Arabidopsis thaliana: one gene and its partner. The protein of the gene in region 1 purifies or fractionates together with the protein of each later gene. This does not show direct contact. Each region holds a gene or a part of one and is shown in the gene's direction. Other genes may lie near its edges.

The links.
Region 2: the proteins of EMF2 (region 1) and SWN purify together in Arabidopsis thaliana (affinity purification with mass spectrometry, with the first as the bait; one study listed by BioGRID). This does not show direct contact.

What each region holds. Positions count from the first base shown.
Region 1 is NC_003076.8:20,817,848-20,833,480, forward strand, and holds EMF2 (VEFS-Box of polycomb protein), read left to right. Parts: upstream 1-5,796; 5' UTR 5,797-6,111; exon of another isoform or gene 6,112-6,217; 5' UTR 6,218-6,305; coding exon 6,306-6,343; intron 6,344-6,515; coding exon 6,516-6,663; intron 6,664-6,880; coding exon 6,881-6,936; intron 6,937-7,082; coding exon 7,083-7,197; intron 7,198-7,294; coding exon 7,295-7,454; intron 7,455-7,546; coding exon 7,547-7,597; intron 7,598-7,804; coding exon 7,805-7,944; intron 7,945-8,148; coding exon 8,149-8,211; intron 8,212-8,301; coding exon 8,302-8,423; intron 8,424-8,665; coding exon 8,666-8,730; intron 8,731-8,828; coding exon 8,829-8,881; intron 8,882-8,989; coding exon 8,990-9,043; intron 9,044-9,126; coding exon 9,127-9,186; intron 9,187-9,606; coding exon 9,607-9,653; intron 9,654-9,736; coding exon 9,737-9,837; intron 9,838-10,004; coding exon 10,005-10,224; intron 10,225-10,380; coding exon 10,381-10,429; intron 10,430-10,504; coding exon 10,505-10,588; intron 10,589-10,934; and 7 more. Other genes in the region: EMB3142 (nuclear pore complex protein (DUF3414)), read left to right, coding at 1-24, 160-264, 398-487, 589-720, 806-906, 1,065-1,184, 1,279-1,396, 1,481-1,561; OLEO3 (oleosin3), read left to right, coding at 2,324-2,628, 2,739-2,859; AT5G51220 (ubiquinol-cytochrome C chaperone family protein), read right to left, coding at 3,558-3,619, 3,721-3,769, 3,874-3,934, 4,077-4,201, 4,305-4,471, 4,569-4,782, 5,111-5,278; AT5G51250 (Galactose oxidase/kelch repeat superfamily protein), read left to right, coding at 12,896-14,002; AT5G51260 (HAD superfamily, subfamily IIIB acid phosphatase), read right to left, coding at 14,375-14,552, 14,865-15,074, 15,234-15,619. UniProt on the Arabidopsis thaliana protein: Polycomb group (PcG) protein. Involved in flowering processes by repressing unknown target genes and preventing reproductive development.
Region 2 is NC_003075.7:876,683-892,487, forward strand, and holds SWN (SET domain-containing protein), read left to right. Parts: upstream 1-9,897; 5' UTR 9,898-10,010; coding exon 10,011-10,046; intron 10,047-10,297; coding exon 10,298-10,417; intron 10,418-10,517; coding exon 10,518-10,783; intron 10,784-10,923; coding exon 10,924-11,082; intron 11,083-11,335; coding exon 11,336-11,420; intron 11,421-11,523; coding exon 11,524-11,667; intron 11,668-11,755; coding exon 11,756-11,803; intron 11,804-11,887; coding exon 11,888-11,959; intron 11,960-12,202; coding exon 12,203-12,807; intron 12,808-12,896; coding exon 12,897-13,044; intron 13,045-13,365; coding exon 13,366-13,586; intron 13,587-13,657; coding exon 13,658-13,789; intron 13,790-13,882; coding exon 13,883-13,970; intron 13,971-14,060; coding exon 14,061-14,108; intron 14,109-14,187; coding exon 14,188-14,316; coding exon of another isoform or gene 14,317-14,395; coding exon 14,396-14,473; coding exon of another isoform or gene 14,474-14,524; exon of another isoform or gene 14,525-14,869; coding exon 14,870-15,061; 3' UTR 15,062-15,305; downstream 15,306-15,805. Other genes in the region: AT4G02010 (Protein kinase superfamily protein), read left to right, coding at 4,775-4,805, 5,350-5,766, 5,908-6,279, 6,516-6,728, 7,090-7,461, 7,583-7,826, 7,909-8,056, 8,160-8,540; AT4G02030 (Vps51/Vps67 family (components of vesicular transport) protein), read left to right, coding at 15,580-15,750. UniProt on the Arabidopsis thaliana protein: Polycomb group (PcG) protein. Catalytic subunit of some PcG multiprotein complex, which methylates 'Lys-27' of histone H3, leading to transcriptional repression of the affected target genes, mainly abscisic acid (ABA) responsive elements.

The sequences.
Region 1 (15,633 bases):
CTTGCAGTGGGAATATTGAGCAAGGTAATTCTTTGGCGAGCTATAAGTTCATAATTTTCTTTTGCTTCTCTTTTCGTGATGGCATCTTCAAAAGGGCTCATAAAATCCCACAAGCTAGTTAGATGCGTTTTCTAGAAAGTGAGATTGCTTGTTCTGTAGGTCTGGCCTTTTGAAGAGAACGATGGATATGGATTTGTTCAAGGGCTATTTGATATGATGAGCAAGCTTTTCATCGCCTCCCCGATTAAATCGATATTATCGCAGGTAGGACAAGTAGTTCAGGTCATATTTGAGTATCAGTATATATTTTTTCATGTGTTAGTGGCACCTTTTCATCACATCCTTGAATTCTTATATTCGATGGGTTTCTCTTTTTTGTTTCTCATCTGGTGGACAGAAGGGATCAGAGCTCAAATTGTCTCAGTTGCGATTCAGCTTGACTTCTTACTTATATTTTCTGGTGACCAAAAATTCTCTGAGGTTACAGGTACTCTACCAGTTATTTCCCTCTGTTTCTTCATTCCACGTTGACATTATTCAGTTGTTTGAATGAACTACAAGTAAATACTCATATGCCCCTTGTCCCAGGTTTCAGATGATTCTCTTGATAGTTCCACTAAACTACGCCAACCAACATTGCTGTTGCTTGCATCTCTTCTTTCGCATGTGACTGATTCCCTCGAGAGAGCAGCAGAGAAGAAGTCCTTACTTCTTCATAAGGTATATTATTCTAATTCCTACCATTTACATGTTTCAAACTCTTTTTTTTTTTTTTTACATTCGAAGTTGCATGTATGATTGGCAGATTAGAGACATAAACGAGCTCTCAAGACAAGATGTAGATGCGATCATCAAGATCTGTGATTCCCAAGAATATGTCACACCGTCCGACAACATACATAAAAGGTTAGTGAATTTCTTTCTTCTGCTCGCTCATGCGTGCATATGCCAAAGCAGAAATGGGTATTAACATAGAATTTTTCCAGATTTTTTCTATCAGTGATTAGTAAGACGTTTTGACCACTGTTTTTATTTGTTCGTGGCTCTGTTGTTACTTACCTCAGGAGATACATAGCTATGGTTGAAATGTGCCAAATCGTGGGTAACAGGGACCAGTTAATCACCTTGTTACTGCAACTTGCCGAGCATGTACTAAATATTATCCTGATCCATCTCCAAGATAGGTATGCCACTTTATCTTCAACAATTGATATCTTAAAAGTTTGGAAATCTACGGGTTTGCTCTAAGATACTATGCTAAACACTTCACATATGCAGATCCGTTAGTTCAAATGAAAGGGGATCATATGGTTCAAAATCCCATATACAACAGGAAGTTACAGATCTCTGTGGCAAATTGTCACCTACCATAGATAGGCTTGCATTACTGAATGAGGTAAGCCTAATCGATTTTCGAGAGTTTTCGATTATTTATGTGCTGAAAGTGAAAGGTGGTGGTGACCCGATTTGTCTATCCCAGGGAAAAGTAGGACATAACCTGAAGGTGTTCCAGAGACTGGCAACGACTGTAAAAGAAATGGCCATCCAAAAGTGTGTATGAAATAAGCTTCTCAAGAAATGTATTTTTGTGTGTCAAATGTCCAAATCTAAATTTGTAGTATGAGTCTGTATAACAAAATAGTAAATCCACATGATTTCAAATGATACTTTCTCTGAGACTCTTGAGAAAAAACTTTAAAAGCTCCAGCTTAATTTTAAAGTTATGAAAGCCAAAAGTTTTACCATTCACACTTTTAATGCTTTTCTTTTTCACAACAATCTTAACTATTCTCTGTTTACTATTCACACCTTTAAGTTTTACCGTTCACACCTTTGAGGCGAAGAGCTACTAATTCACAACAATCTTAACTATTCACACCTTTGAGTTGAAGAGCTACTAATACTATTCTCTGTGAGCCAAGTTGTTTTGGGCCGATTGGCTTAATGGATGTGGATTCCGAACTTCCTTTTAATTCTTTGCTTCTATAGTTCTATAGAGTGGGGGAATGGGAGTGACCATAACATCACGACCGATCGATAATAACGTCCATCACGTGACTTATGTCCCGGTCCATGTTGTGTACTATAGCAAAAAAAAAAAAGACCCAGACGTACGTGTCGCAAAAAAGACCCATCTCTACTCATTAACACATGCAACGGCTGCATGAAGACACTTTTGACACGTGACATGGCTCAAGCGAGCCCCACCAGCGCTCCTCTCCTTCATAAATCATCATTACTTACTCCGAAAACACATCACTACCTTTTCTCTGCTAATTTCTACTATTTGTGTTGGAGGGATATATTATAATAAAAAGAACCAATGGCGGACCAAACAAGAACCCATCACGAGATGATAAGCCGAGACAGTACCCAAGAGGCCCATCCGAAGGCCAGGCAGATGGTGAAGGCAGCAACCGCTGTCACAGCCGGTGGATCCCTACTTGTCCTCTCCGGCTTAACACTCGCTGGAACAGTCATCGCACTCACGGTGGCTACTCCTCTCCTCGTCATCTTCAGCCCCGTCTTGGTTCCAGCAGTGGTAACCGTTGCTCTCATCATTACCGGATTCCTTGCATCCGGTGGCTTTGGAATAGCCGCCATTACCGCCTTCTCTTGGCTCTACAGGTAATTTACGACCCACACAAAATGTGACCTACCGTTTCAAACCGAGCTTGCAATGCACGTTATATTTTATAGAAAGTTTGAATATTGGAGAATATGGTCATTGTATTTAGGCACATGACGGGATCTGGATCGGATAAGATAGAGAATGCTCGGATGAAGGTTGGAAGCAGAGTGCAGGATACTAAGTATGGGCAGCACAACATTGGAGTCCAACACCAACAAGTTTCTTAAAATTCAAAGGCTAAAAACGATTTCCACATTAAATTGTCATCCATCGTTAGATCTCTTCTCTTTGTTTTTATTTTCAACGTTTATGTTGTAATGTGTGATATATAATAACATGCAATGTATGATGTAATCTTGTTGTTGTTGTATGAGTAATGTTTTGATCCTTCTATGCGAGCGGAAATCTTCATATAGACAGTGTCATTGGTACATTACACAAATCTTCATAATCTCCTTCTACGCTAGCAGAAATCTTTAACCATGAACATTTGTTCTCTATAAAAGCGCTGCTATTATGTGGTACCAATTCATTTGTTGTGCTAACCTCAAAGACCAACAAAAAGAAGAATTTAATAAAGATGATGAATTCCACGATCTAACATACTATAGTTATAATACTGTTTCAAATACAAGATCATAAAATGTTGAATGGCAGATAAGTAATTACAATCGGCTATCGCCTTGTAGAAAAGATTTTGAGCATTAGTAAGCCAATTAAAGTACCAAATACCAATGACAGTAAATGCTCTAATTCAGTAATCTTATTCACTTTCACATTGTTTTCATGATCATCTGGATGCTAACAGCTAGCACATTCCCTTGTGTAGGTTTCTTTGGTTTGATATAAGTAAATCAAATGAAACAGAGAAACAAATGAAAGATTGATTCGCAAAGCACCACAGCTTCTTCTAATTTCATTCAAATCACAGGGGCTTGTTCTCCAAAGGGGTGAAGGAGAAATTGCCGGAGAATATGGACTCTTTATCTGTGTATGACAAAAAAGAACCATATAAGAAAAGGCATGTCTATTCGAAATGCAAATGCGAGTAACATAATGAGGCATTCCAACTATAGCGTCATAGGTACCTGTTAAAGAAAGAGAACCAAGTTCTCTCCGGACATATCTTGCCATTGCCTGAAACACACAAGCAATGTCTTAACAAGTTTGGTACACAATGCCTAAACTAGTATGTCAATGTGTGTGTGTTTGCGAGAGAGATAGAGAGGAGAAAATCATGCCTGTGCTGTTTTTAAATCTGTGTTATCAGGTGTTGTTGTTCCATCATCAGAAAATACGTTCCTACAATCCAATTGCATATAAGGTTCTGAGACAAATCCGTTATCTATGGCTGCCATATTGTATATAAATTCAAGCCGAGCTACTTAGCTGTGTAATCTCTACCGAACTCATTGCATAAAGCATGACGTTATAGAAGCTTTACCTCCATAATTTGATTTGTAGGTCATTTGGTTTAGCTTCCGGAAGTAGCGCAGCATCATAGGCAACAACATTTCCATAAAATATTCTCTCCAACTCCTTCATCCACTTGGCTAGCAGCAAGTTAACCTGTAATTTCAAGAAAGATTAAGACCATCTTATTTTAAGGAATCTAAGAAACTAAGATATCTCTTCGAAACTATATTAAAGCAAAACCAAGTCTAGCACGTACCCCGGCTTTAGATACCCTGAGTTCAACATCATGATTGTAGATCTCATAGACGTATTGACCAAGGTCAACACCTTCCTGTCCATCTTCCTTCAAGCGGCGTAAAACAAGCCACATATGAAGGACAAGCAGCGAATACGTTATTTTGAATGTTTTCTCCAAGTTGAATACTGCAGCAGAGACAGAGCACCCGATATATAAACAAAGCACAAAATGTAAATACATAACTCTGTTTGCAAAAGTTGTGTTGGAAACCAAATAAAGTACCATCATATATTGCAGGTTTATCAACTTGTGCAATGATCCGCTTGTAGATCACGTTAGCCCCACGGATAGACATGCTCTGTTTGCTATAGAACATCATCATCTTTAGTATGAAACGACGAATCCCTACATAGTCTGGTTCATCAATTCTGAGAGGAGAGTCTTTAGGCAGAGCCAATGAACATGGCTTTGACCAAAACATCTTATCCAAGTTTATCTGTCAAACATAGAACAAATCCTTTTCATCAAAGAAGACACGATTGTCCAGAAGCAGTTGACTAAAAGAGCATGAATCTAAATCACAAACATACTAATGAAACTCCAACAGAAAAAAAGGGATGAATCCTAAATGAGGTACAATGGGGAGGCAGAAGTCACTTTAGTCCCGCATTCGATGAAACTAGAAACAGAGAGAATCAAATTGAGCTTAGGTTCGAATACTATAGTGAGACCTAAACATTCACAACAACTACGCATTAACAGCTACTTCTGAAAACGAGATCTTTAATCTGAGTAAACAAAATGTTACCACTTTAAGATCATACCGGAGATTTACTGGGGAAATCCTTCTGCGACGGAGGATCAGCTGCCGCCGGCGCAACAGTCGCGTACCCATATCGGGAGAAAAAGGAGAGATTTTTCATCGATCCATTAGTGGTCAAAGATCGAAGCTTTGAGGTTTGAGTGACGACTCGAGCTAATCTGGGCAACATTAGAGAGAAACCCTTGTGGTTTTACTCAACAGATGAATAAATCTGAAGGGAGAAATTTGAATGAGTAAGATCGAATTCTAAAACCCTAGGCGAAAAACCCTCTCCGACTCCTTTTCTGTGTGATTGATGATGGGGCTAGGTAGTCGTCCACGTTAGCGTCTATTTGGCCAGATATTCAATTACAGTGCTAACTTACGCCGTTATTAGGAACGGAAAACCTTGGTTATGCAAAAACAAACACATTTTACCGATATTGGTGACACGAAACTGATGGTCGATTTTAGATAGTAAGAGTTGATGATACCATAAAATATGTTTGTTTATACCATTATCATTTTAGGGGGATAAGGAACTATGACTACTTTGTCATCCATTTTTTTGGTGGATCTCTAATTTGAACTCAAGTGGCTTATATTGAATAGTTAAGAAATTATGCTTTCTCATGGCCATTGGGGAATTTAGTTTCAATTAGTGAAAAGAGTTTTAATTAGATTTTATTGTGCACCGAATTTTACTGATTTAGGACATGGTTTACGCTTATTTTCTCAAGAGCAAAAATATTTACGGTCTCCTCAACAATATCATCAATTTACACTTTTTATTACTCTTCGAAACGCTTCATCTCTCTCTTTCTCTCTCTCAAGCTGTCAAAGTCACCTCTGTATTCGCGTGAAGATAATTTCTCACAATTAGGGTTTTTTTTTTCTTCTGAGTTAACTGTTCCATCTCCATCCTAATCTTCACCTTCTCCTTGATTTCGAGATCTCTGTCAATTTGTTGAATCTGTTCTTTATCTAATTAGCTCAACTCCGAGTCTTTGCTGGATTTTGAAGGTCACCACTGTTCAAGTTTACATTTTTTTTCCTGCTAATCGCTTGATACCCGTTTCTGCTGTTGTGGGATTTATTGGGTTTTTCTTCTTTACGATTTTTGTTGCAGCTTTTGTAGCTGAAGCAAATTTGTAATCTGTGATGGTGTATGCACTGATTCTGGGTATGGTATTGTACTCTAGGATCTCGTAGCGAGAATGCCAGGCATTCCTCTTGTTAGTCGTGAAACCTCTTCGTAAGTCTCATGAACAACCTAATGCTTCTATAATGTCTCTGCAGCATTGTGTAACTTTATACTGTTTCTCTTATGTATAAGCTGAGGAATCCTAGTAATTCAAACTTATCAAATTTTTATTTTGTTGTGGGGTTGCTTACAATTTTGGTTGCGTATGATGGTGAAATCACAGTTGTTCAAGAAGCACAGAGCAGATGTGCCATGAAGACTCCCGTCTGCGTATTTCGGAAGAGGAGGAGATTGCTGCTGAAGAGAGCTTGGCTGCCTATTGCAAGCCTGTTGAACTCTACAATATCATTCAACGCCGTGCTATTAGGAATGTATGTCTTCCTTCCTACCTTTTTTAGACAGAATATGTTTAGTTATGACTTATGAGCTCAGCTGATATATCACATGTATTGGTTTACTTTTGAGTTTTGACAATGAAAATTTACATGAAAATGTAGTTTGAGTTGACTTCATTTGGTATAAGCAAGTATGTGTTGTCTTGCTATGCAGTCCATCCTAATCATTTCTCTCTCTCTGTCTCCCCTGTAGCCCTTGTTTCTTCAGCGATGTTTGCATTATAAGATTGAGGCAAAACATAAAAGGAGGTAAGCTTTTTTTTTTTCCTTCCTTTCTCTGTTCAGAATCTCCATTACTTTTGGGTAACTATTACACTATACCTTAGTAATTCATTCCGGACTTGAATGCTTTCTAAGTTTTCGGATAGTTATCAATATATATTACTGCTTTGCAGAATACAAATGACTGTATTCCTCTCGGGCGCTATAGATGCTGGGGTACAAACTCAAAAATTATTCCCTCTGTATATTTTGTTGGCAAGACTCGTTTCTCCTAAGCCTGTCGCTGAGGTATGCATTTGAACCTCAGACAGATTTGCATTGATCTTTATTATTTGTAACTTACCTATTCTTTGCTAACATTTTTCTTGAAATTCTCAAATTATAGTATTCTGCAGTATATAGGTTCAGTCGAGCATGTATCCTAACTGGTGGATTGGGGGTTGATGGAGTTAGTCAAGCCCAAGCCAACTTTCTTCTCCCTGATATGAATAGACTCGCATTGGAGGCAAAATCAGGATCACTCGCTATCTTGTTTATCAGCTTTGGTGATTAAGACTGACTGTGTACAAAATTATATAAAGACATTTATATATGTACAGTATTCAGATAAACTGATCACATAATTTTCTTCTTGTAGCTGGTGCGCAAAATTCTCAATTTGGCATTGATTCAGGCAAGATTCATTCAGGTACTTCCATTTCTTCATTGATATAACATTCTAATATTGAAAAGTTATGTATCTTTGGGCATTACCAATTTTCCATGTAATAGTATGGAAAATCTCAGTCCTATTTATTAACAAAAGAATTAGGGATTCTTTGACTCCAATTATAAGAGTTTCTGAAAGTCTTTTTTTTCATTAACTCTTACCATCGGAAGCGTTTTTTTCTGCCAGGAAATATAGGAGGACATTGTTTATGGAGCAAAATACCTCTGCAATCACTGTATGCGTCGTGGCAGAAATCACCAAACATGGACTTGGGACAGAGAGTAGACACAGTCTCTCTTGTTGAAATGCAGCCTTGCTTCATAAAGGTAAACACTATTGCCCAAGTCTTCCTCTTGTTCTATGACTTTATGCTCCCTGTATTGAAATAAGGACTGTGTATTGAACTTCTTTTGTTATTTGAAAAAGTAAATTGGAAGTAATTGCTACTGTGAATTTTATTTTTGCCATTAGTTTTCAGTCTTGATTATTTAAATGAAAATATTACTGGTATAACTTGTCCATTGCTGCAGCTAAAGTCCATGAGTGAGGAAAAGTGTGTCTCGATTCAGGTGCCCAGCAATCCACTCACCTCGGTAACTTTGCACACTTTGCTATACTTCCATACATTATTCTGAAATATCATGTAATCATATTCTTACAATTCTTACACTTCTTATTTGAAGAGCTCTCCGCAGCAAGTGCAAGTCACCATATCTGCAGAAGAAGTTGGGTCAACGGAAAAATCTCCTTATAGTTCATTTTCATATAATGACATCTCTTCCTCTTCCTTGTTGCAAATTATCAGGTAATCTTCAGTTTAGTCTGCAATTTCTTCTGCGCTCTCAGATTTCTTGCCTCATCTCATTATGATTTTTTGTAATTGTATAAAATATATTGGCCGGTCTGCTATCTCCCTTAATATATAGTTGGCAGTTTTCTTGAATTGTGACTGTCCTCCTCTTTTATGGGGATTATACAAGTCGTTACGTACAACTAAAAATGTCCATCTCGTTAAGTTGACTCTATACCACTACATTCATTGCATAGGTTGAGAACAGGAAATGTAGTTTTCAACTACAGATACTATAACAACAAATTGCAGAAGACTGAAGGTAACTAGTATTATTTTAACCTGTTTCATACCCATGTGTGTCTATATTTCATCCGTTACCCTAACCTGTTACGTATATGTTTGCTATGTGTCTTGCAGTAACTGAAGACTTTTCTTGTCCATTCTGCTTAGTAAAATGTGCCAGTTTCAAGGTGGACTTTCATTTCCATTCTCATTCATCCTCTTAGTCAAAGATACAGCTGTAGTGACTAGTCTTTGTAGTGATGCAATCTTTTCTTTTTCTCCCAATCATGTTGTAGGGCCTGAGATATCACTTGCCATCAACCCACGATCTCCTCAATTTCGAGTTTTGGGTTTGTAGCTTTAAAATTCAGTTAACCTGTTTGATCTTTTTTTTTTATTTTGTGGGTGCCACTAATCTGCTTTACTTGGTTAGGTAACTGAAGAATTTCAGGCGGTAAATGTCTCCCTCAAGACTGAGACAATGATATCCAAGGTTAGAACATCTTGTTTGTTCGATTTATGTTCATTAGTTTCTCTGCTGTATATCTTATAGGCTGTAACAAATTCATTTTTCATTTAAACTAATATCCTCCATGGGTTGTTGACTTTTGTGTGGTTAAATAAGGGAACTGGAATCTTTAGTTGCTATTTGTCACACTATGATCCTTGCTATTGTCCTTAATAGCGTGATGAGAATAAACTCAAAATGACATCGCTGTTCTGTTTACTTTTTGTGGCCATGAGACCGTCAAAGCTCGACTGTAGAATAAAGTCCTGGATTATATAGGAGTGTCAAATCTAATTGAAGTAGTTGGTTCTACAATATATTCTATGTCTTTGTAGTTTTTCCTATTTGATGATTACTCTTAGCACAGTTTTCTAAATGTTAATGTTCATTAAAAAATCTGCTCAGGTTAATGAGGATGACGTTGACCCAAAGCAGCAAACTTTCTTTTTTTCGTAAGTTATCTGGCCTATATGTTGCCTTTTATTATCTTTCCAGCATCTGTGTGAGACCATAAAAATTCTTCAATATGTGACAGTTCCAAAAAATTCAGACGGAGGAGGCAAAAGAGTCAGGTACGGAGCTCAAGGCAAGGGCCTCATCTTGGATTAGGTTGCGAGGTGCTAGATAAGACTGATGGTATGTGTTTGACTGAAATGACAGTTAATTGGATTTGTAGTATTGGCTTCTTTTGTGATGAGAGCCTGTCTTAGTTGTATATTTTACGAGTATTTTACTTTGTTATGTGCAATTTTGCATGCAACAACGTTGGATCATTTGGCACAGCTTTTTATTCTTACTTTCAGATGCTCATTCTGTTAGAAGTGAGAAGAGCCGAATACCACCTGGAAAGCATTACGAAAGAATTGGGGGTGCTGAGTCTGGTCAAAGAGTTCCTCCTGGCACGAGTCCTGCAGACGTGCAATCATGTGGGGATCCAGATTATGTGCAGTCGATAGCTGGAAGTACAATGTTGCAGTTTGCAAAAACGAGGAAAATATCTATAGAACGGTCGGACTTGAGGAAGTATGTTTGACTTCCTTTTGTCGTTCTATCCTCTTCTTCAATTTATATTTAACTACATATGGTTCATGCATGAAAAATTGTGTCCTAGTTTTATAACAAGTAGCTTGTTAATCCCAAATGATGTGAGTGAGTTTTTCAAATTTTTTCCTCCTCCAGCCGAAGCCTCCTTCAGAAGAGACAGTTCTTCCACTCTCATCGAGCTCAGGTGATCTTTTTTCTTTAGCTCTCTTGCTTTTGAAGATTGCAATTGATTTTGACTTTGCTATGTGTACTATCGCAGCCCATGGCTCTAGAACAAGTACTTTCGGACCGGGATAGTGAAGATGAAGTTGATGATGATGTGGCAGATTTTGAAGATAGAAGGGTATGTTTTTGAATTTAATATTTTCACCGCATCAGTAGTTGGGTAGAATAAAGCTCAGTAGTTGGGTAGATATATGTTTCATGTGAAAGGGAAAGGAATATTGAAGACTGGGCATGGGCAAACGTTAGGAGCAATATTGTAATGGTTCAGAGATCAATAGAAAATATGTGAGCAAGCCTCACGGTTTGATATGGAACAGTAGAACCAGATCATTAGTGCTTATATAACACTCATTAAAAGACGAAGTGTGTCCGTTTGTACTCGATTCTAACATAGTTGATTCTAACATAGTTTGTCTGATTCTCCATATAGTGAATAACGTTATTTCCTATTACTATTCTTTCAGATGCTCGATGATTTCGTTGATGTGACTAAAGATGAGAAACAGATGATGCACATGTGGAACTCGTTTGTGAGGAAGCAGCGGTATGTCTTATCTCTTTTCAGTACATGTCACGTGGAGTTTTCCAGTATAAACATTTAGAGTCGCGCATGTAAAGGTTGTGGATAATTCCTGCATGAGTTCTTCTGGTTAAAAAAAAAAAACTGAACAATTAGATAACATACGCATCCATGTTCTCTGACTCATTATAAGCATTACCTTGACAGTGGTTTTGGACCCTTTGCAGAGTATTAGCAGATGGTCACATTCCATGGGCATGCGAGGCATTCTCAAGATTGCACGGACCCATCATGGTTCGAACACCGCACTTGATTTGGTAATTCAACTCTCATTTCTTCCATTGTTTTTTCCAGTGTATCGGAGAAGAAAGCGGTTTTGTTGATAAAAGTGAGCTTTTTTTGTGTAGGTGCTGGAGAGTGTTTATGGTGAAACTGTGGAACCACGGTCTTCTTGATGCCCGAACCATGAACAACTGTAATACCTTTCTCGAACAGCTCCAAATTTGAAAACCCAAGAAATCATTAATTTAAGTAGAAAAACAAAGAAAGACAAGAGAAGAAGAGTTTTGGGTTCTCATTTAACTACTTTTGGTGTTTTAAGAGAAAGAGGAGCATATTTATGCATGAATTTGTCCTCATCTTTTTTTTTTTTTTTTTTAATTATAAATGTGTACATTGGCTTATCTTTGACGCTTGTTCTTCGAGTAATGCTTTATACATGTTCCTTACTCATTTAGGATATCATATGGTTGAAAACTTGAAATACTAATTGACTTTGTACACTGGAAACCAGACATGGATGTTACTCTGGAAACATGCATCAACATATGTCCATGAAAAAATATTAGTTTTGGTAGAAGAAACAAGCTCACCTTTTTAGATTGCAAAATCAAAAACTTTCTCAAAAAGGGAACCTTGCTTATGTTGAGAGACAAGCATCGTATGGATCAAGAGTACTTTAGCACTAACACTATTATATATTATAAATCTAGTCTTAACAACATGATTAGCCAACTGAATGATATATAACCTAGTGCCATTGCATAGATCAATTTTATGATCAATATTTCCAAGTAACATGAGAGGGCCACCAATCTTCAGTCGCAAACTGTTGTTAGTCAATCTAAACAATTTGATGCTATTCAGAAACTCTTGAGAGTAAACCATAATATCAGTTGTGTTTGTAACCGACGTCTCAATTCTACACATGGCAATATATAGCTAATCAATTCCTATAAAATTCATAAACTAATGTGGGTATTAGAAGAAAAAAACGTTGTTATCTGATATAATGTGATATAGCATATTAATTACTCGTTAATCATATTAACATCTTGGTTTGTTGGATTTAGAATAGCTCGATCTCTCTCTTCAAAGAAATTATGATCACTCTCTTTTGCAAATGAGTCTCCATAATCTTCCTTTACTATTTCTTCTCTAGATGTTCGTGCTCAATTATCAGCAAATCTTCAGGGATATCAATCTCAGTCTCATCATTGTTCTGTCAATCACCAATATTTAGAATAGATTTAGAAAATCTTTAGGCCATGTGGGCCGGGGCCTGTGAAGAAGTCACTACAAACCCTAAAGGAAACAATCTATGGGAACAAAAACCCCTGTGATATCTATTTTATCCACATGAACTGAAATGCTTTACTCAATGCGCTCTTGATCTATCATCCCTAGGAAGCGAAGGATCAAATCGCTCTTCCTGTAGCATCCGCTTTGAGATCAACAAATAATCTACCTTTGCTTCGATCCGATCCGAGGCAAAAACCCTAGATTGCTGCTCAAGTAATTATACATGCTCTTTTCTCAATTTTTTATTTTCTTATCTGTTTCTAAAGTATTGAAAACAAAAAGAGGAAAAACTTATGTGTCATATTGAACTTAAACAGTAGAGTCATGTCGTCACTTCCCGATGATTTGCTATTGAGCATCTTCGCACGCATCTCAAGATTGTACTATCCGACTCTCTCTCTTGTCTCCAAGAGCTTCCGATCTCTACTAGCTTCACCGGACCTTTACAAAGCCCGATCACTCTTAGGCCACACTGAGAGTTGTCTCTACGTGTGCTTTCATTTTGATTCTGGCCCTAACACACATTGGTTCACTCTCTGTCGGAAACCTGACGGAACCCTAACCAATGACACCAGTAAGAAGAAGAAGTCAAATGGGTATGTTTTGGCTACTGTGCCAATTCCCCATTCTCCTCCTGCAAACTTTTCAAGTCTCGTGGCGGTTGGTTCTGATATCTACAACATTGGTGGATCCATTTACCTAGGACCCTCCTCGTCTAGTGTCTCGATTCTGGATTCCCAGTCTCACATGTGGCGCGAGGCTCCAAGCTTGCGGGTGGAGCTGATGTCACATTCTGCTAGCGTCCTTGACAGAAAGATATATGTAGCAGGAAGCTACAAAGATGGCAATGGCGATTCCAACTCCTGTAAGAACTTGTTCGAGGTGTTCGACACAAAAACACAAGTGTGGCATCCTGAGCCCATCCCATGCAGCAAGACAAAAGGCATTTTTTACTCCAAAAGCGCATGTATTGATGGAAAGTTTCACGTGGAGACGACTCACGGAGTGGTGTATGCTTACAAGGAAGGTAGATGGGACAAGGCTATACCAACGATGTTTGGTATGAGGGCTTCATATTCTTTTTGCGAGATAAATAATGTTTTGTTCTATATTCATCGCGGAGTGTTCAGATGGTATGATACTAAGTTAAGAATGTGGAGAATATTGAAAGGTTTGTTAGGACTACCTAGTTTACCTGAGAATATGTTTGTTAGATTGGCTGATTATGGTGGAAAGATGGCGGTTTTATGGGAAGAGGATCGCCCTTCTTGTGGGGCTGGTGGCAGAGATGAGATGATGATTTGGTGTGCCGTGATTGCGCTTAAAAGGCACCTAAATTTTAGTTTTTGGGGAAAGGTTGAGTGGTTTGATCATGTGCTTACAGTCCCTAAACAACATGTTTTCGTTAAGGCTCTTACTGCTAGTTTGTGATGAATGTGCCACAAGGCTTGAACATGTGTTCTTTTGGAGTATGCAACGATAATGAATGTGACTTTTTCTCTTAATGCACTTCTTATTATTTGATGTCAACAAAAAAGAAACTAAAGAGTTTTAATTTTGGCTTACTAGAGTTTAGTGTAACTAAAGATGATCACGAATACATTGTGAAAAAAAGAAGTTAAAACGAGTAGTACTATATACTATCTACTCTGTATAAAACAGAGCATTCTCTGTTATTAGTACATTTAGTAGCTTGACAAGTTACAAGCAAAGGCAATCCAACTTTAAAAACACTTTGATTGCTCTAATAGTAAGTATATACGATTTTTGAAATGTTTTATATAGGTCGTCAAATAAAGCCCTTCAGGGGATATAATACATTGGATTTGCGAGTTTGAAAGATCGTTGAGACATGGAGGTACCCAACAAATCACTCCATTGATCACCTGAATTGCCTCTAATCCTATATCCCTCTTTCACCATCTCATCTCTCTTCTCAGATTTGTATAGTGTCGCCATTTTGTGCTGTTCCTCTGGAGATCTGCACATCACACACAGACACGAGGGCAAAGCAAAACGAATAAACAAAGGATGTTCAAAACTGATGATGATATGTCTAAGATATCTTATCAAACCATTTGCAGAGATCCAGAATTCTATATGATCCACCAGCATCATCAACCATTGCATAACGAACAAACTCATTGCATGACTTAAAATCAAAGAGCTACCCATGTTTCTTATCAAACTATATGCCACCGGCATCAACCATTGCATAACGAAAAAACTCATGGCATGACCTAGAAGCATGTATAGTTACAACCTAAGAAGCTGCATTTGTTTATAATTATACCTGAGAATAAGCTTGTCCCAGTTCTGGAAACCAGCATTGATGAGATTTTCAACAGTGACAAGCCTGTGACTCTCTTTCCTCCCTGTAAGCAAGAAAACTTTGTATCCCAAATCTAACACTCTTTGGTAAAGCTTCAAGCTTGGTGCTATGGCTGGTGCCACTCCTCTCTCTACCCACTTATCAAACTCCGAATGATCAAAAAGCTCCAACCTTCAAAATTCCCAAAACATAATCAACAAAGTCAAGCATTTTCTATAACCAATTGTCCTCTTTTATGAGTTTCTCTAGCAAAAGAATCACATGAACATACACAAACCAAACCAAGTTTGAGATAAAAATGTGTAAAGTAAAAGTTTTGAGAGAATGTACCCAAAACCATGATCAATGTAATAAGGAAGATTGGATAAGAGAGTCTCATCGATATCGAAAATCCAAATATCTTTGCCATCGCCGGAGAATTCGATGCTTCTCGCGAAGATCAAAGCTTCTTCAGAGACTCTCTCCAAATCGGTGAGGTAGCCTTTACCCATCACATAGTCCTTCACGTAATCGGCACATTCCACCGGGATTGTTTTCCACGGCGCGAGATTGTTCATCTCCGCCGCGAATCTCCAGGTCGTACAATGCAAATTGACATCTTCTTCGGCAGCTTTCTTGTGTCGACTCTCGATTTCCGACGGGTACTCGAGAATCGAATCGGAAAACGCGGAGGTAAATAAGGAAACCACCACGAGGAAAATCAGATAAATCCTCATCGGAGAATCAAAGG
Region 2 (15,805 bases), on another chromosome or scaffold:
TTACTTTTCACAATTACGCAATTTTCTACTTAAGCACTTTGAGTCTTAGGTGACAAGTGTATACCAAATCTTGTTTCTGTAAAGAACAAATGGAAACATTCATTCTACAATTGCGCAACATATATAGGAAAACTGAAACCACATTTAAAACCAAATTCTACAATTTGATCATCACCAGAAAACGGAACTGATGACATCATCATATGTGTAACATCTATCTTTTAAGCACTTCAAAAATTTCTGTGGTTCTGTTTTGGTTTCTATAAACCATATTCTAACGTCTATTAAAAGGAAGAAGATAACTTCAAGCCAAACAAGCTACATAAAAACTAGAACTAGAAGAGAACATTCAAGAAATAGACTAAGAACAAAACGCTTGTGGTCTCTCTTAGAGATTCTGAAGAATGTTCCTAAAGAAAGCAAGACTGTGGAAGATTGAAGGAAAGCTAAAGATGTTGAAGAACCCTGAAACAATCATTACCATTTGGTATCAAAGGCTCATGTTTTGGAGGAAACATTGATGAGTCTTTCACCAGTTTTTTTAACCCCAAAGGTTAAAAACCTGCTAACAAGTATTTCATACTTAAACAATTTCTCTGGAAACAGTTACTTTACATAACAAAGAAATTGAAATCTTTCAAGAAACAAGAGAACTAGTATCATTCACGGTTACAAAATTAGCTTCAGACACGAAGAAACACAACACAAAACTAGAAACTAATGATTTCTATTAGTAAATTAACGGAGCAATCAAACTTGAAAGACAGATGATGAAATATAACTTGTTAAAATGTATATCCATGAATAATCGTAATTTATAGTAATCTGGAGAGATATTGTTGATCAACGAAAATTGTAATTGAGCACTAAATATTTTTTCTCCCTTCTCAGACACTCATAACAAAAGAAAGGTCTCATATCGAACCACTACTAAGCAATCATTACAAATCAAGTAAGATAATCTTCCAAGGACAATCAATAACCATCTCTTTTCGAGTTCATCATAAATTTCAATGTTAGTAATAGCTATTTTTTGAATTAATACATAGACCACTCAAACAAACAAGGTATTCAAGTTAGCACTAAACCAATCAACACAAAGATTAAGGTAAGAAAACACCGTGTAACAACCAACATATTCAAGCAAACAAATACTACACAACAAACAACCGAAAAAGTCACAACTTCAAAGCATAAACCACACAAGCACATATTCAAGTTAGCATATTAGACCACACAATACACATATTTAAGTAAGTACAGATCATGCAACCACTAACAAAATTCAAGCCATCGCTCCAAAGAATAATCCATAGAATGACCAACGGATTTAAGCCATAGCTTCAAATTATAAACCATAGTCCACATAATAGTCCATAAAACAACCAATAAAATCATATTCTCACGTCTAAATGTTCATAACAATACTAAACAAGTAAAAGGTATCTTTTTCTAACGATTATCTAAATTGTTTACTTACCTAAGACCGAGTTGCAATTAATGTAACAAATTCTTCATTTTTATCAGAAGTAGGTTTTGATTATGATAGTGTTTCTATCTTTGTTGACATTTTTATACCCTGCACTAAGAAGAGTGATTGTCAAATAAATTCCATTGAATCAGTTGCTCAGGTATTTAAAGCAGGATCTTGTTAACTTAAGATTTCTAACATTAATACTTATATCAACCAATCGTATACAAACATAGGAGAAGCACATGCCTTATCCTAAAGTAATTTCATATTCTTGCATCAAACAATTTCTAAAAATCACCAAGAAAGTACCTGAGGGATGTTATGCAGAGTCTATTTTTCAATTATCGCTGTGATCTGCGCCATAATCTAAGTATGTAACAATATAAAACTAATTAAATACAAGTTTAAGGAGAAACACATACCAATCTTGAAGTCCATAGACACTTTGAAATCTCTGAGTCTTCAAAAATATCTGGAAAAATAAAAAAGTTGCGTCAGTTATCATTTGGTGCACATATCCTCTTTAAATTTGCGATCTCACTGTGTATGGCTTATTTTATACCACACACATTTAGACCAAGTAGTCACTGGTTTGTGTTAACCTTAAGGGGCTTTTTCTGTTCCCTTTTCCCATCTGAAACTTGAACCTTAAGGAACTCTCATCTGAACCAAGGGCTCTGTCAAAGCCATGGGTTTGAGATTGTCAATTGTATTTAAGCCGTTGGTTTTTATACCGTAAAAACGGTTTAAGCCGTAGGTATCTTTCGAGATTCAGGACAAATTGTCTCCGATCTTTTAGATCATCACAGAGGGACAAATTATCCCAATTTAGATTCAGACACAAGGGCAACCAGTAATAATACCGTATGTCTAATCTCTTGGGATTGAACTATATAGCAAATTGGAAACCACAGTTCAGAGAATTACCTGAAGAGTATGTAGACTGTTGCGAAAGCATTCTCGAGAAAACTCTCTGTGATCAATGAGAGAAGAATCCAGTCTCTGTCTTCTTATACGAACATGATCTGCAACAATAAGAAGAAAAAAACAATGTTAGGTAAATATACAAGTCTTTGATCGCTTAACTGTACTCAAAATTAAATTCACGATTACAGATATTGAAACCCTAATTCAAAGAATCAAACACAAATATTCGATTAATTGGAAGTAAAATCGAGTAAATCAAAACAAAAAAGATCGCAAGATCTTAAAAGAAAAGCGATTTTTGAGAATTTGAAACCCTAAAGAGTTAATTCGATGAAGAGGATTATATAAATCTTTGTTTAATTTTACCCAAATTGAAGAGAGAAACGAGAGAAAGAACTTAAAGGCGAATACTAACCGAAGAGAAAACCATCAATCTCCGATTAGTTATACTCAAATCGAGTACAACAAGGGAAAGAACTTGAAAATTTGAAACCCTAAACATCGATTACAGAAATTACTGACTGAAGAGAACGATAAGTCATGATAAATCCAGATGAAACCGAAGATTTGAACGAAAACTTACAGAGCAAAATTCAAAATCGCCGATCAAAGAGTCGCAGAGAAAGAGAATAATGAAAACCTTTTTTTTTGGCATTATAATAGAAATCTCAGGGAATTTGATACGCTTATATACGCCACGTGGCACATTCCTAACGTTGTCGCCAACGCTAATAACGGCTACATTACGTTTTAGAAACAAATGTTTTGATTTTTGCGTGTTGTGATTAGTGAATGTGGCCACGTCATAAGCGTTACATGTAAAATTTGTTAAATATTAAATTATAGCATGCCAAAAAAGAACAACAAAAAAAATATTAAGGAAAAAGCAAATTACAAATACATCTTTTATGTAACACGATCACATTATCATTAAATAAATTAAAATATTATTATTCAAAAGTGAAACATGTGGACACAAAATTATTTACCGAAATTATTTATTCTTCAAATCCTAATCATCAAATAGTATATTTTAATGTTTGATGATTCTGATTACTAACCATCTAGAATATTTGCTAAAGTTTGTATTCCCTCTATTTCATAAAATTTGATGTTTTACGTTTTGCACGAAAAAGTAAATTTTTTATTTTTTAAGTATTATTTTGTTAGTTTAATAATATTATTGTTATCTCTTCCTTTTAATATTGGCCACAAACAAAATTAATAATTATACTTTTACAAAACATTAATCTTTTGTGGAACAAGTAAAAGAACCCAAAGCATCAAATAATTTGGAAGAGAGGGAAAAATTAACAACGTAACAAGGTTTTTATAAGTCGTCCATTGTTAAGAAATTGGGCTATAGTCTAAATATTTTTTTAACAATGGGTCTTAAAAGTTAAAACATAAAAAAAAATCCAAAAATTGTGATGAGCTTCTGCACCGATGCCCCTTTATTCTACCCATTTTTGGTCTGGGTCTGGTCTTCACGTCGGCTCTTGGTACACTGCCACTATAAATTCCGAAAGCTGCTCGTCGAATCTCTACATTACTGACATGTTTGGTTAGCTATCTGTTCATCGTCTTATTCACCGGGCAGAATCATTCAAGCTAGCTATCTATTCTTGAGAAAAGCTTTCGAAAATATTGTACTGCCACTTCACCTTTAGAACCTTAAGTAAATTGTTCGATACCATTGCCATTGTAAGAAAGGATTTTTTATTTTTTCCGGTTTAACATTGGTTTTCATTTTAACTTTTAACGGATCAAAATATTAACAGAGAAGTCCGATAGTGACTGACTGACTGACTGTGACGCTTTTTGTTTTTAGCTACCGTTAATGTTTGTTTTCCGTTAACGGCGTATTTTAGTGTGCGTGGACATATACGCTCAAGTACGCCGCACGCTTCTCTTCTTTTTGTCGCGCATTCAAAAACCGAAACGATCAGAAAAAAAAAAAAAGAATATTAAATAAACATTTTGGACTAAACAATTAATTTTTTTTTAAAATAATTTCTCGAAAGAGAAAAAAAGAGAGAGAGAGAGAGAGATGGAGCTTCTACAGTACTAAAAGCTGAGTGAATCCGAAGAAATCTCCGCCAACGGAATATTTTTTTTCTGGGAGCTGAAAATCGTTGGTGACGATGGCGGATTCTCTTTCTAGGGTTTACGGAACTCTGTTTAGTGGTGTTAATATATCTCTCTTCTCGGATCCACCGTTGAAAACCCCCTGAAGAGTGTTTTTTTTTCCGGGTTTAAGGTCTTTTACGTTTCGTTTTTTCTTGAGATTTCGTCTTCCGCTGTGAGTTTCTGTTCTCGCGGCGAGTTTTTGTGTAGATCTGAGGGTTTTCAAGGCAAGAGAAAGTGTCGGTGATGTCGATTTTCTCACTCGCGAGCTCTTCTGGTAAATTCTCGTTTATCTATTAGCTTCTTATACTGTCTCTTCCAAGTGTAGTGATCTCGATTTTTAAGGAATTTTGAAATTGGAGGAAAAAAAGTTGTGATGTTTCGGATTTCTAATTTTGTCTATGGGACCTATGTGATATCTAGTTACTTTGTTTCTTTATCTGTTAGGTCACTCTGATTTTGGTTAGTGAATATCAAGTCACAATATAGATTTGGAATGTAGTTTGGATTTGAACTTATCGTGCTCAAGATTTTTAGGTTTATAGTTTCTAAATATATGGTACATGATCTTTAGCTCTGGACCTATATGTTAGATTATCCAGGCTCAAAAAGGCAAAGTATGTTGGAAGTGATTTGGGTTTTGGACCATGTCTTTGTATATTTTCATGAATATAGAATAGTAGGTTGAATTCATTAGGTTGCTTAAAGACATTCTTTCAAAATTACTCCCGAATGGTTGCAATACCTAATCACATGGCTAGCTTTAGTTCTGTTCTTGTCTTAGCTCTATCTCACTGTTTTTAACGATATAACAATCCCAGATTCACAAAGAGATGACCTAATAATGGCGTTGAAGGCGGTGGTTATTGTATATTGTGTGGTTTCTCTCGTCAGTGTTCAATTAGCTGATGCTCAACATGAAGGACTGCCAGTTTCACCAACGTTATCACCTTCAACTTCACCAGTTATCACTGATCTGCCCCTACCAGCTGAATTTCCGCGGTTTCACAGAAAGTATTTCGCACCACAACAAGCAGAAGCACCTCAGCATTCTCCCCCTTATAGTCGTTTGGTCGCTTCTGATCATCCCCCTACCAGCTCACATTTCTCCAAACCTTCCATGAAAAGGAATGCTCAGTCTCCTGGAGCCGGCTTGGCTGATATTGCTCCAGCACAATCTAGCAATGGTGTTCTTCCTGATGCCTTAACTCAGCCACCTTTGTCGCCCTCCATTTCAAGTAAGAAATTATCCATTCTCATAACTAAATCAATGTTAGCCTTTACAAGGATAATTTAAGTTCAACTTTCTCTCTTTTCCATTTTGAATTTGAATAACTTTTTGATTCAAGATTCATTGTGTTTATTTGTTGTTCTTCCAGATTGTTGCAAATCAGATATGGTGCTTAAACGAAGAAGTATTGGTTGCCACTGCGTGTATCCTATAAAACTGGACATCCTTCTCTTGAATGTTTCAGAAACTCCTAGTTGGAACATGTTCTTGAACGAATTTGCTACCCAGCTTGGTCTCCTACCTCACCAAATCGAGCTGATTAACTTCTATGTGCTAAGCTTATCAAGGATGAACATATCGATGGATATCACCCCTCATTCTGGAATTAGTTTCTCAGCTAGTCAGGCATCCGCAATAAACTCTTCCCTTATCAGCCACAAGATTCAATTTAGCCCTACTTTGGTGGGAGATTACAAACTTCTAAACCTTACTTGGTTTGAGGCCCCTGCACCTTCGCAAGGTAAAGTACTTTTCTACAATTGTATCTGGGAAAGAATTCAATCGCCCCATCAATTCTGCACATTTGATTTCACATCTGCGGTCAAAGTTTCATCACATTCAAGATAGCATAGCCGAAAGAAAGTAGACTGATATAGTTTTTTATGTTAAAAAAGCATCTCCCAGTTTGATGCTTTTTGGAGTATATCACCATGATTCCTTGCATTTGCACTAAGATAGGTCTTAATATGTTTGCAGCACCTCTAGTGGCTTCTTCACCTCATAAAGCACCATCACAAGGATCCTCAGCAACTACGTCAGTAAGATCTCCAGGGAAAAAGAGGCATCCCAATCTTATTCTTATCTTTTCTATAGCCGCTGGTGTGCTTATACTTGCCATAATCACTGTACTTGTTATTTGTTCCCGCGCACTCCGAGAAGAGAAAGCTCCAGATCCTCACAAAGAAGCTGGTATGTACCTCTTCTGATTACAAGGTTTAAATTATAGGCCGATCTCAGTTAGGAATACGTGAATCATGTCAAAAGGTACACATCATGTGAGCAGCACATTGGGAAGTTAGCATAGATGTTGGGATAATGTCAACTTTTATATTGGGTTTAAAGTTGTGTTGTTAGTTGTCAACAGACCTTATGTAAAAAGCCAACAGACCTTAGGAATCAAACAAAAGGATTGAGAAAAATGGGGATACATAGATGATGAATGATTGCTGTCCACTTACCAGTGTGATTTATGTTACTTTCCTAAATCCTGGCAATTAACTTTTAGTTCTTGTTCTTAGTAAAAACTTGATCGCATATTCCTTTCTTTCAGTAAAACCAAGGAACCTGGACGCTGGTTCATTTGGGGGATCTCTTCCTCACCCAGCAAGTACACGGTTTCTGTCATATGAAGAACTCAAAGAGGCAACTAGCAATTTTGAATCTGCTAGCATTCTAGGAGAAGGTGGGTTTGGCAAGGTTTACAGAGGCATCTTAGCCGATGGTACTGCTGTAGCGATTAAGAAGCTCACAAGTGGTGGGCCACAAGGTGATAAAGAATTCCAGGTGGAGATTGATATGCTTAGCCGTCTTCATCATCGTAATCTTGTGAAACTTGTGGGTTACTATAGTAGTCGAGATTCTTCTCAGCACCTACTTTGTTATGAGCTTGTTCCAAATGGCAGCCTCGAGGCTTGGCTCCATGGTAATATCTCCTCTTTGCTTCCCTTGCTGCCTATTTTTAGATCTGACATTGTCAAAAGTAGTTATTGTACACTGAGTTCATCTACAAGAGTGGTTTATTTAAGTCATTGTTTATGCTTCAGGGCCTCTCGGGTTGAACTGTCCTCTTGATTGGGACACCAGAATGAAGATTGCACTTGATGCTGCAAGAGGACTTGCATACCTTCATGAAGACTCGCAACCCTCCGTTATACACAGAGATTTTAAAGCCTCTAATATACTCCTTGAAAACAACTTCAACGCCAAAGTTGCAGATTTTGGCCTAGCCAAACAAGCTCCTGAAGGCAGGGGTAATCACTTATCTACTCGTGTTATGGGCACATTTGGGTGAGTTGCTCATATCTCTCGACAGTTTTCATATACAACCTTAAATTCTGAGTTGCCTATTGAATCCGCGATCTGTTTTCAGATATGTTGCGCCTGAATATGCAATGACGGGACACCTACTCGTCAAGAGTGATGTTTATAGTTACGGTGTGGTCCTTCTCGAATTGTTAACTGGTAGAAAACCTGTGGATATGTCACAACCTTCAGGCCAAGAAAATCTCGTCACTTGGGTAAGTAGAAAGTTCTTGTCATCTCCTAGATCTTCCTGCACTTTCATTGTCGAAAACTTAAGCTTTTGAAGTCTCGAATGTAAAAATTTGATTCTGGATGCAGACAAGGCCAGTTTTAAGAGACAAAGACCGGTTAGAAGAACTAGTCGATTCAAGACTTGAAGGAAAATACCCGAAAGAAGATTTCATAAGAGTATGCACAATCGCTGCAGCTTGTGTTGCACCTGAAGCTAGCCAGAGACCAACGATGGGCGAAGTGGTTCAGTCACTTAAAATGGTTCAACGGGTGGTTGAGTATCAAGACCCGGTTTTAAACACTTCAAATAAAGCTCGTCCTAACCGGAGACAATCATCAGCTACGTTCGAGTCAGAAGTAACCTCTTCTATGTTCTCTTCTGGTCCTTATTCTGGTCTAAGCGCTTTTGATCATGAAAATATTACACGAACAACTGTTTTCTCAGAAGATCTTCACGAAGGCCGATGATAGAAGCCAGGGTTTTCTTCTTTTTATTTGTTTTTCTCCCACTTACGGTGAGAAAATTTCCACCAGAGAAGCTTTTGAGTTTGGGACATTATTACAGCTCTTTGGATTTTGGATTCTCCTTTATTGGAGGATAGAATTTTGTATATATTTTTGCGTTAATTAATTAATATTTGCCACAACCATCAGATATACAAATAGAATTTGAATATACTTTTTCCAATATAAAAAAACTATGTACAGGTGATTAGTTTGTACTGTTAATTTTTAAAGGCTTTTTACAGTAAAAGTTTTTACAGCTAAAAGTAACAGTATAATACTTTTTTTTTATGGAATAATCTAAATAAAATATAATCTGTTGAAAAACTAATATTTTAAATATAATTTTTATGGTATCAAACCAATATTTAAAGTAATTCCTTTCTTATTAGTTAAAATCACAGTTTTTATTATTATTATTTTTGATAGTGGTTATGTTCAGGAAAGGACTGTCATACATTCAGGATGGATTTACAGAGATTGCAATGGATGTTTCCTTAGTTCAGGGCGTGCTCAACTTCAATCGTCACAATTATCTCTTCAAGCAGAGGCTCTCGGATTTCTTCATGCCCTTCAAGTGACTTGGTCCCGAGGACTACATTATGTACTTATGTGTGGTTTGAGAGCGATAATGCAGAGCTAGTAAATCTGATCAATACGCAGAGTGATCATAATAAGATCATCACTCTTCTTTATGATATTCGTTATTGGATGGTGAAGCTTCCGTTCTCTTCCTTAGCACATGTTAATTGGGAAAGAAATGCAGCTGCGGACATCTTATCTAAAAAGGCTCAGTTAATTAATTCTCTGTACCACCATTATGGTTAGAAAGATATTTGTATCTCCCTTTACAAGTTTATAAGAAGCATACATATGTTAAAAAAAAAAAATCTTTACAGTTTAAATCTTTACGCTCAGAGATTTTTACTTTACAGCTAATATTCTTAGCCTCAATGGCTAGTATTGTTAACGTCAAAGTTTCTAAAGCCACACAAATCATAGTAGTTACCTTTAAGATAAAATACAATTATAATCACAAATATCTTAATATTTTTACGTTCAGAGTTTATTACTTTACAACTAATACTTATCTCAAACGTAACTGCTATAACCTGTGTGGCTCTAGAGACTTTGACGTTAATAATATTAGCCATTATTAGCCTCAACGGCTCCAGAGCCAGGCATGTCGTAATAGTTATCTTTAAGATAACATACAATTATAATCACAAATAGAAAATAATTGTCGCAAAACCACTAATTAAATTACACACGTATAAGCACTATTCATTCACACGTGTGGCGTTCTTTGTATGTAATGTAACCCCCCTTCCAGTCCACACTCCGTTCGTCCTTCTCACAAGTCTGATTGCGGAAAAAGCAGAGAGAGAGAGAAAGTTCGAGCGGAAGAGAAGCGGAAAGCTCGAGGAGTCATCAATGGTGACGGACGATAGCAACTCCTCTGGACGAATCGTACTCAGATTTACCTTTCAATCTCCTCTTTTTTTTTTTTTTTTGATTTATTATCTGATTTTGCTCGTATGCGCATGATCATTCGCGTTTTTTCAGCTGATTGTTCGTGAAATCCGTTTGAGTTCATCAAATTATAATCGCTCTCTTACTTTTGTTCACTGTTGGAGTTGATGGACCTTATAGAATTAGTGTTTTTCCTCGTTGCTTTTGTTTTTTACACGATTTTTGTTTTGATTTGGGCTTCTGAATAGAAGTCTCATGTAGATGATGATGATGATGGTGAAGAAGAAGAAGATAGACTCGAGGGTTTGGAAAACAGATTAAGTGAGCTTAAAAGGAAAATTCAAGGAGAAAGAGTTAGGTCTATTAAAGTAAGAGAGTTTCTATACTTGATGTTCTTTACTAATTATACTAATGTCTAAAAAATTTGAAATCATTTATCCGTTTTTGATTGTTTTCCTGGGAATGTAGGAGAAATTTGAGGCTAATAGAAAGAAAGTGGATGCTCATGTTTCTCCCTTTTCATCTGCTGCATCGAGCCGAGCTACCGCAGAGGATAATGGAAATAGCAATATGCTTTCTTCGAGAATGAGAATGCCACTCTGCAAGTTAAATGGTTTTTCTCATGGTGTGGGAGATAGAGACTATGTTCCTACTAAGGATGTTATATCAGCAAGTGTCAAGCTTCCTATTGCTGAGAGAATACCGCCATACACTACCTGGATATTTTTGGACAGGCATGCACCTTTTCTAGTTCTCATTTTTGCGTTGGTAGCATGCTATTCTAAATTCAGTTGAACAATAGACTAGAACATCAAATTCAGTTTTCATATTATGTGTTGTTTTTCTTTTCTGAAAAAATATCTTAACCATGCAGAAATCAAAGAATGGCTGAAGATCAGTCTGTGGTTGGTCGAAGACAAATCTACTATGAACAACATGGTGGTGAGACGCTAATATGCAGCGATAGTGAGGAAGAACCAGAACCTGAGGAGGAAAAACGTGAATTTTCCGAGGGTGAAGATTCCATTATATGGTTAGTTTTGCAGAGAGTGTAAATTATGGACTCTCATGTACTCTGATGGGGAAAAATTGTGATACTGGTATTTGAAGAAGTACCTGGGTGGAATTTATTAACCAATGAATCACATTTGTTGATGCTAAAAAAAGATGTCATATTTCGTATTCATATCAAATTTCATTCTGTAAGACTCTTCATTAGCATTAGGTTTGAAATATATCTCACTATATATGAATTTCTTCATACCTCGTTTGACTTGAATTGGCAGGTTAATTGGGCAGGAGTATGGCATGGGTGAGGAAGTGCAGGATGCCCTTTGCCAGTTGCTAAGCGTAGATGCTTCTGATATCCTGGTGCAGTTTTTAGTCATCTTGTTCTTGTGGTTTATCTAATGATGTTTTTCTGGTCTTCCTATTCTTCTTCACTAATGATGTTTGGCTTTCCTGTCTGCTGCAGGAAAGATACAATGAGCTCAAGTTGAAGGATAAGCAGAATACCGAGGAATTTTCTAATTCCGGATTCAAGCTGGGAATATCTCTGGAAAAGGGCCTTGGTGCAGCTCTAGATTCTTTTGATAATCTTTTCTGCCGCCGTTGCTTGGTACTTGGATTGTTCTTTGTGACAGAGAGAGCATGTATTATTAAGTGTTTGTTAATCATGTTAATCCTTCTTTGGTTATTTCTAACAGGTATTTGACTGTCGTCTGCATGGATGTTCTCAGCCTTTGATTAGTGCTGTAAGCTTGAATTTGTCTTTACTTTCTTTAGTTGTATTGCTAAAGTTTCAGTGGACAACATAACAAGAGAACTTTGGTTGACAGAGTGAAAAACAGCCTTATTGGTCTGATTATGAAGGTGATAGGAAACCCTGCAGCAAACATTGTTACCTCCAGGTCTATCTCTCTCTCTGTCTCTTTACATTCTCAGAGTGATTTGTATATTCGTAGTTAATAAACTATATTCATTAGTGAGATCATGGAATATATGCTCTGACCTAGATTGAGGTTTAGCATGTATGCGTTTGCTAGAGGAGTGATCTTTCATTGTAGTTGTACTAGTGCATAGTCTTGTTTATGCAGTAATTTTTCTTGGTTCCAGAGTTTGAATCACCATTATTCTTATGTTAATGATTTTAGCTCAAGGCGGTCAGAGAAGTACCAGAAACATGCAGTAATTTTGCATCTAAAGCAGAAGAGAAAGCTTCAGAAGAGGAATGCAGCAAGGCTGTCTCCTCTGATGTTCCCCATGCTGCTGCTAGTGGTGTCAGTCTGCAAGTTGAGAAGACTGATATTGGTATCAAGAATGTAGATTCATCCTCTGGTGTAGAACAAGAGCATGGAATTAGAGGAAAGCGTGAGGTCCCAATTCTAAAAGACTCCAATGATCTGCCTAATTTATCGAACAAGAAACAGAAGACCGCAGCCTCAGATACAAAAATGTCATTTGTTAATTCTGTCCCTAGCTTAGATCAGGCATTGGATAGCACAAAGGGTGATCAAGGTGGAACAACTGACAATAAAGTAAACAGAGACTCAGAAGCTGATGCAAAAGAAGTAGGTGAGCCTATTCCAGACAATTCGGTCCATGATGGTGGTTCCTCAATTTGTCAGCCACACCATGGTAGTGGAAACGGAGCAATAATCATTGCAGAAATGTCTGAGACAAGTCGACCATCTACAGAGTGGAATCCTATCGAGAAGGATCTTTACTTGAAGGGAGTCGAAATCTTTGGAAGAAACAGGTAAACTGGATCTTGGTAAATTATTATCTTTAAACACAGAACACCTATAACGTATTTACATCTAGTATGTTTTGTCCGTGCTATCTCAGCTGTCTTATTGCAAGAAACCTGCTTTCTGGCTTGAAGACATGCCTAGATGTGTCCAATTACATGCGTGAAAACGAAGTTTCAGTTTTTCGAAGATCTAGTACCCCAAATTTGCTGTTGGATGATGGCAGGACTGACCCAGGGAATGATGTAAGCTCTTGATCTTCCTAGGGTCTTTTGTCTTTTCAAATTTTCTGCAGTATCTGCGACTTTGGGCATTGTTGTATTGAAAGTTAGCTTGTCAGACTGATAGGGTTAGAGATCTATTCCAGAAGAAAAAAGTTCTGATCCGGAAAAGCCAATTTCCTTGCTTAATTTTTCCCTGATACCTGCATTGGACAAGAGAAAACGATAGTTGACCATAAGTTGGCTTAGACAAGTGATTATTTTATTTGAGATTTTATTGATATTAGCATGCCATGTCTGTCAGAATCATATTTTGGTTTACCGCTCTCTTACTTTACTTGACAGAATGATGAGGTGCCTCCAAGGACAAGATTGTTCCGTAGAAAAGGCAAAACCCGGAAGCTAAAATACTCTACAAAGTCTGCTGGTCATCCGTCTGTCTGGAAAAGAATAGCTGGTGGCAAAAACCAGTCCTGTAAACAATACACGCCGTGTGGATGCCTGTCAATGTGCGGAAAGGATTGCCCTTGTCTAACTAATGAAACTTGCTGCGAGAAATATTGCGGGTATGCAAACAAATTAACGTCAATTGAAGTAACAGAGGATCTTCTTATAACCATCCATTGATTTAATTCAGGTGCTCAAAAAGCTGTAAAAATCGTTTCCGAGGATGTCATTGTGCAAAGAGTCAATGCAGAAGTAGGCAGTGTCCCTGCTTTGCTGCTGGCAGAGAATGTGATCCAGATGTTTGCAGAAATTGCTGGGTTAGGTAGTCATTTTAAATCTAGATCTCTTGATGTGCCATATACAATCAAATCTACTATTTGATGAGTAACTTAAGATGCCTTGCTTATTCACTCAGTTGTGGAGATGGTTCTCTCGGTGAAGCACCAAGACGCGGAGAAGGGCAATGCGGAAACATGAGACTTCTCCTGAGGCAACAACAGAGGGTATAATACTGTCATCAAATCATGTATTTACTAAAAATAAAATGCATTCATTGTTGATAAATCTAGTTTCTCATGTGCTATATTTACCAGATCCTATTGGGAAAGTCTGATGTTGCTGGATGGGGTGCTTTTCTAAAGGTAAAGCATGTGAATATCTTCCTCATTAACTTCTGTTTCATACCTCTTGTATGTAATCTGAACCTCATCTGATCATCAGAACTCGGTCAGCAAAAATGAATACCTTGGAGAATACACCGGTGAATTGATCTCACACCATGAGGCGGATAAGCGTGGGAAAATATATGACCGGGCAAATTCGTCCTTCCTCTTTGACTTGAATGATCAGGTGACCAAATCTCTCACCCTTCTTTCTGATAGTTTCCTCTTGAATTTCGCATATGTCAGTAAGCTTTTGATATTTGCAGTACGTCCTCGATGCTCAACGCAAAGGTGACAAGCTGAAATTTGCCAATCACTCAGCTAAACCCAATTGCTACGCTAAGGTACTAAATGCTTCTCTCTCATATCCATTTTGGTATGAAAAAACCACATGATCGGTTAGTAATTATACCTTCTTTCTCACCTCTAGCCACTCAAAAGTTCCATTTAGAAGGAGGACTAGGATTATAACATTTTGTAGAAACTAATCGCAATTAGCACTATAGAAAACAGATGATCAAATCTAGCTTTGTAGGTTATGATCAAAACACACTTGTTTCTACAATCTTTATGATTGTAATGTGTAAAGTAACATGTGTATATCATCTGCTAGATTTATTCAACCCTTTTCGAAAGGTGTTAATTATTTACAAAAAAGAGCGATTTTCAGTCTATTGTCGTAGTAACCATGGTCTCATCGCTTCCCGCATAAGTACGGTGTCTTTTTCTGTGTGGTGTAGGTGATGTTTGTAGCAGGAGATCACAGGGTCGGGATTTTTGCAAACGAACGAATAGAAGCTAGCGAAGAGCTTTTCTATGACTATAGATATGGACCAGACCAAGCACCAGTGTGGGCTCGCAAACCTGAAGGCTCCAAGAAAGATGATTCAGCCATTACTCATCGTAGAGCCAGAAAGCACCAATCTCATTGATGATTACTGGCTAAGAGAAGTAACTTTTATAAAAATAACTTATAGAGTTGTGAGAGATGATATTTGAAGTTTGATAACTTAAGCTTGTCTTTATTAATTAATTATTATAGAGTTGAGATTTTATTTTATTTTGACATCGAGTTTGGACTTTGTATAGGTGATAAAACAATTTATGAATTATTGGGGTCAATAAGTAAAAATGTATCATTTCGAAAAATAGTTTCAAATTTATGGATTTTTGAACAGCTAAAGCCAATCTATGTACTTTTCAACGAATAAAACTGATTTAAAATAAGTGAACGAACCAATCACACTAAACCAGTGCCTAATCTCATAAAAAGTAATCCGACTGCTAAACCGTATTCCGGTTCGAATCGGATACGGATCCGTTTCCCAGTTGATTAGTCGGATCCAGTTTCTTCTTGCTTTTTCAATTCACATTACGAATCTCCGACGCCAAAATTCTGCTTCCGGTAACAGATATTTTCGTCGTCGAGAAGAAGCAGGAGTTTAGAAAAATGGCGACGGAGGCAGCTCCGATGGACGAAAAGGCGAAGAGAATGAGAGATCTATTGTCGAGCTTCTACGCACCGGATCCTTCAATCTCGACGAGTGGTTCCTCCATCAACGCCTCTTTCGATAACATCAACAGCACTTCCTTTGATGCTGATCAGTACATGGATCTCATGGTTAGTCTTCGTTTCTTGTCAGAATATTCGTGAATCGTCAACACAAGCGTCAATA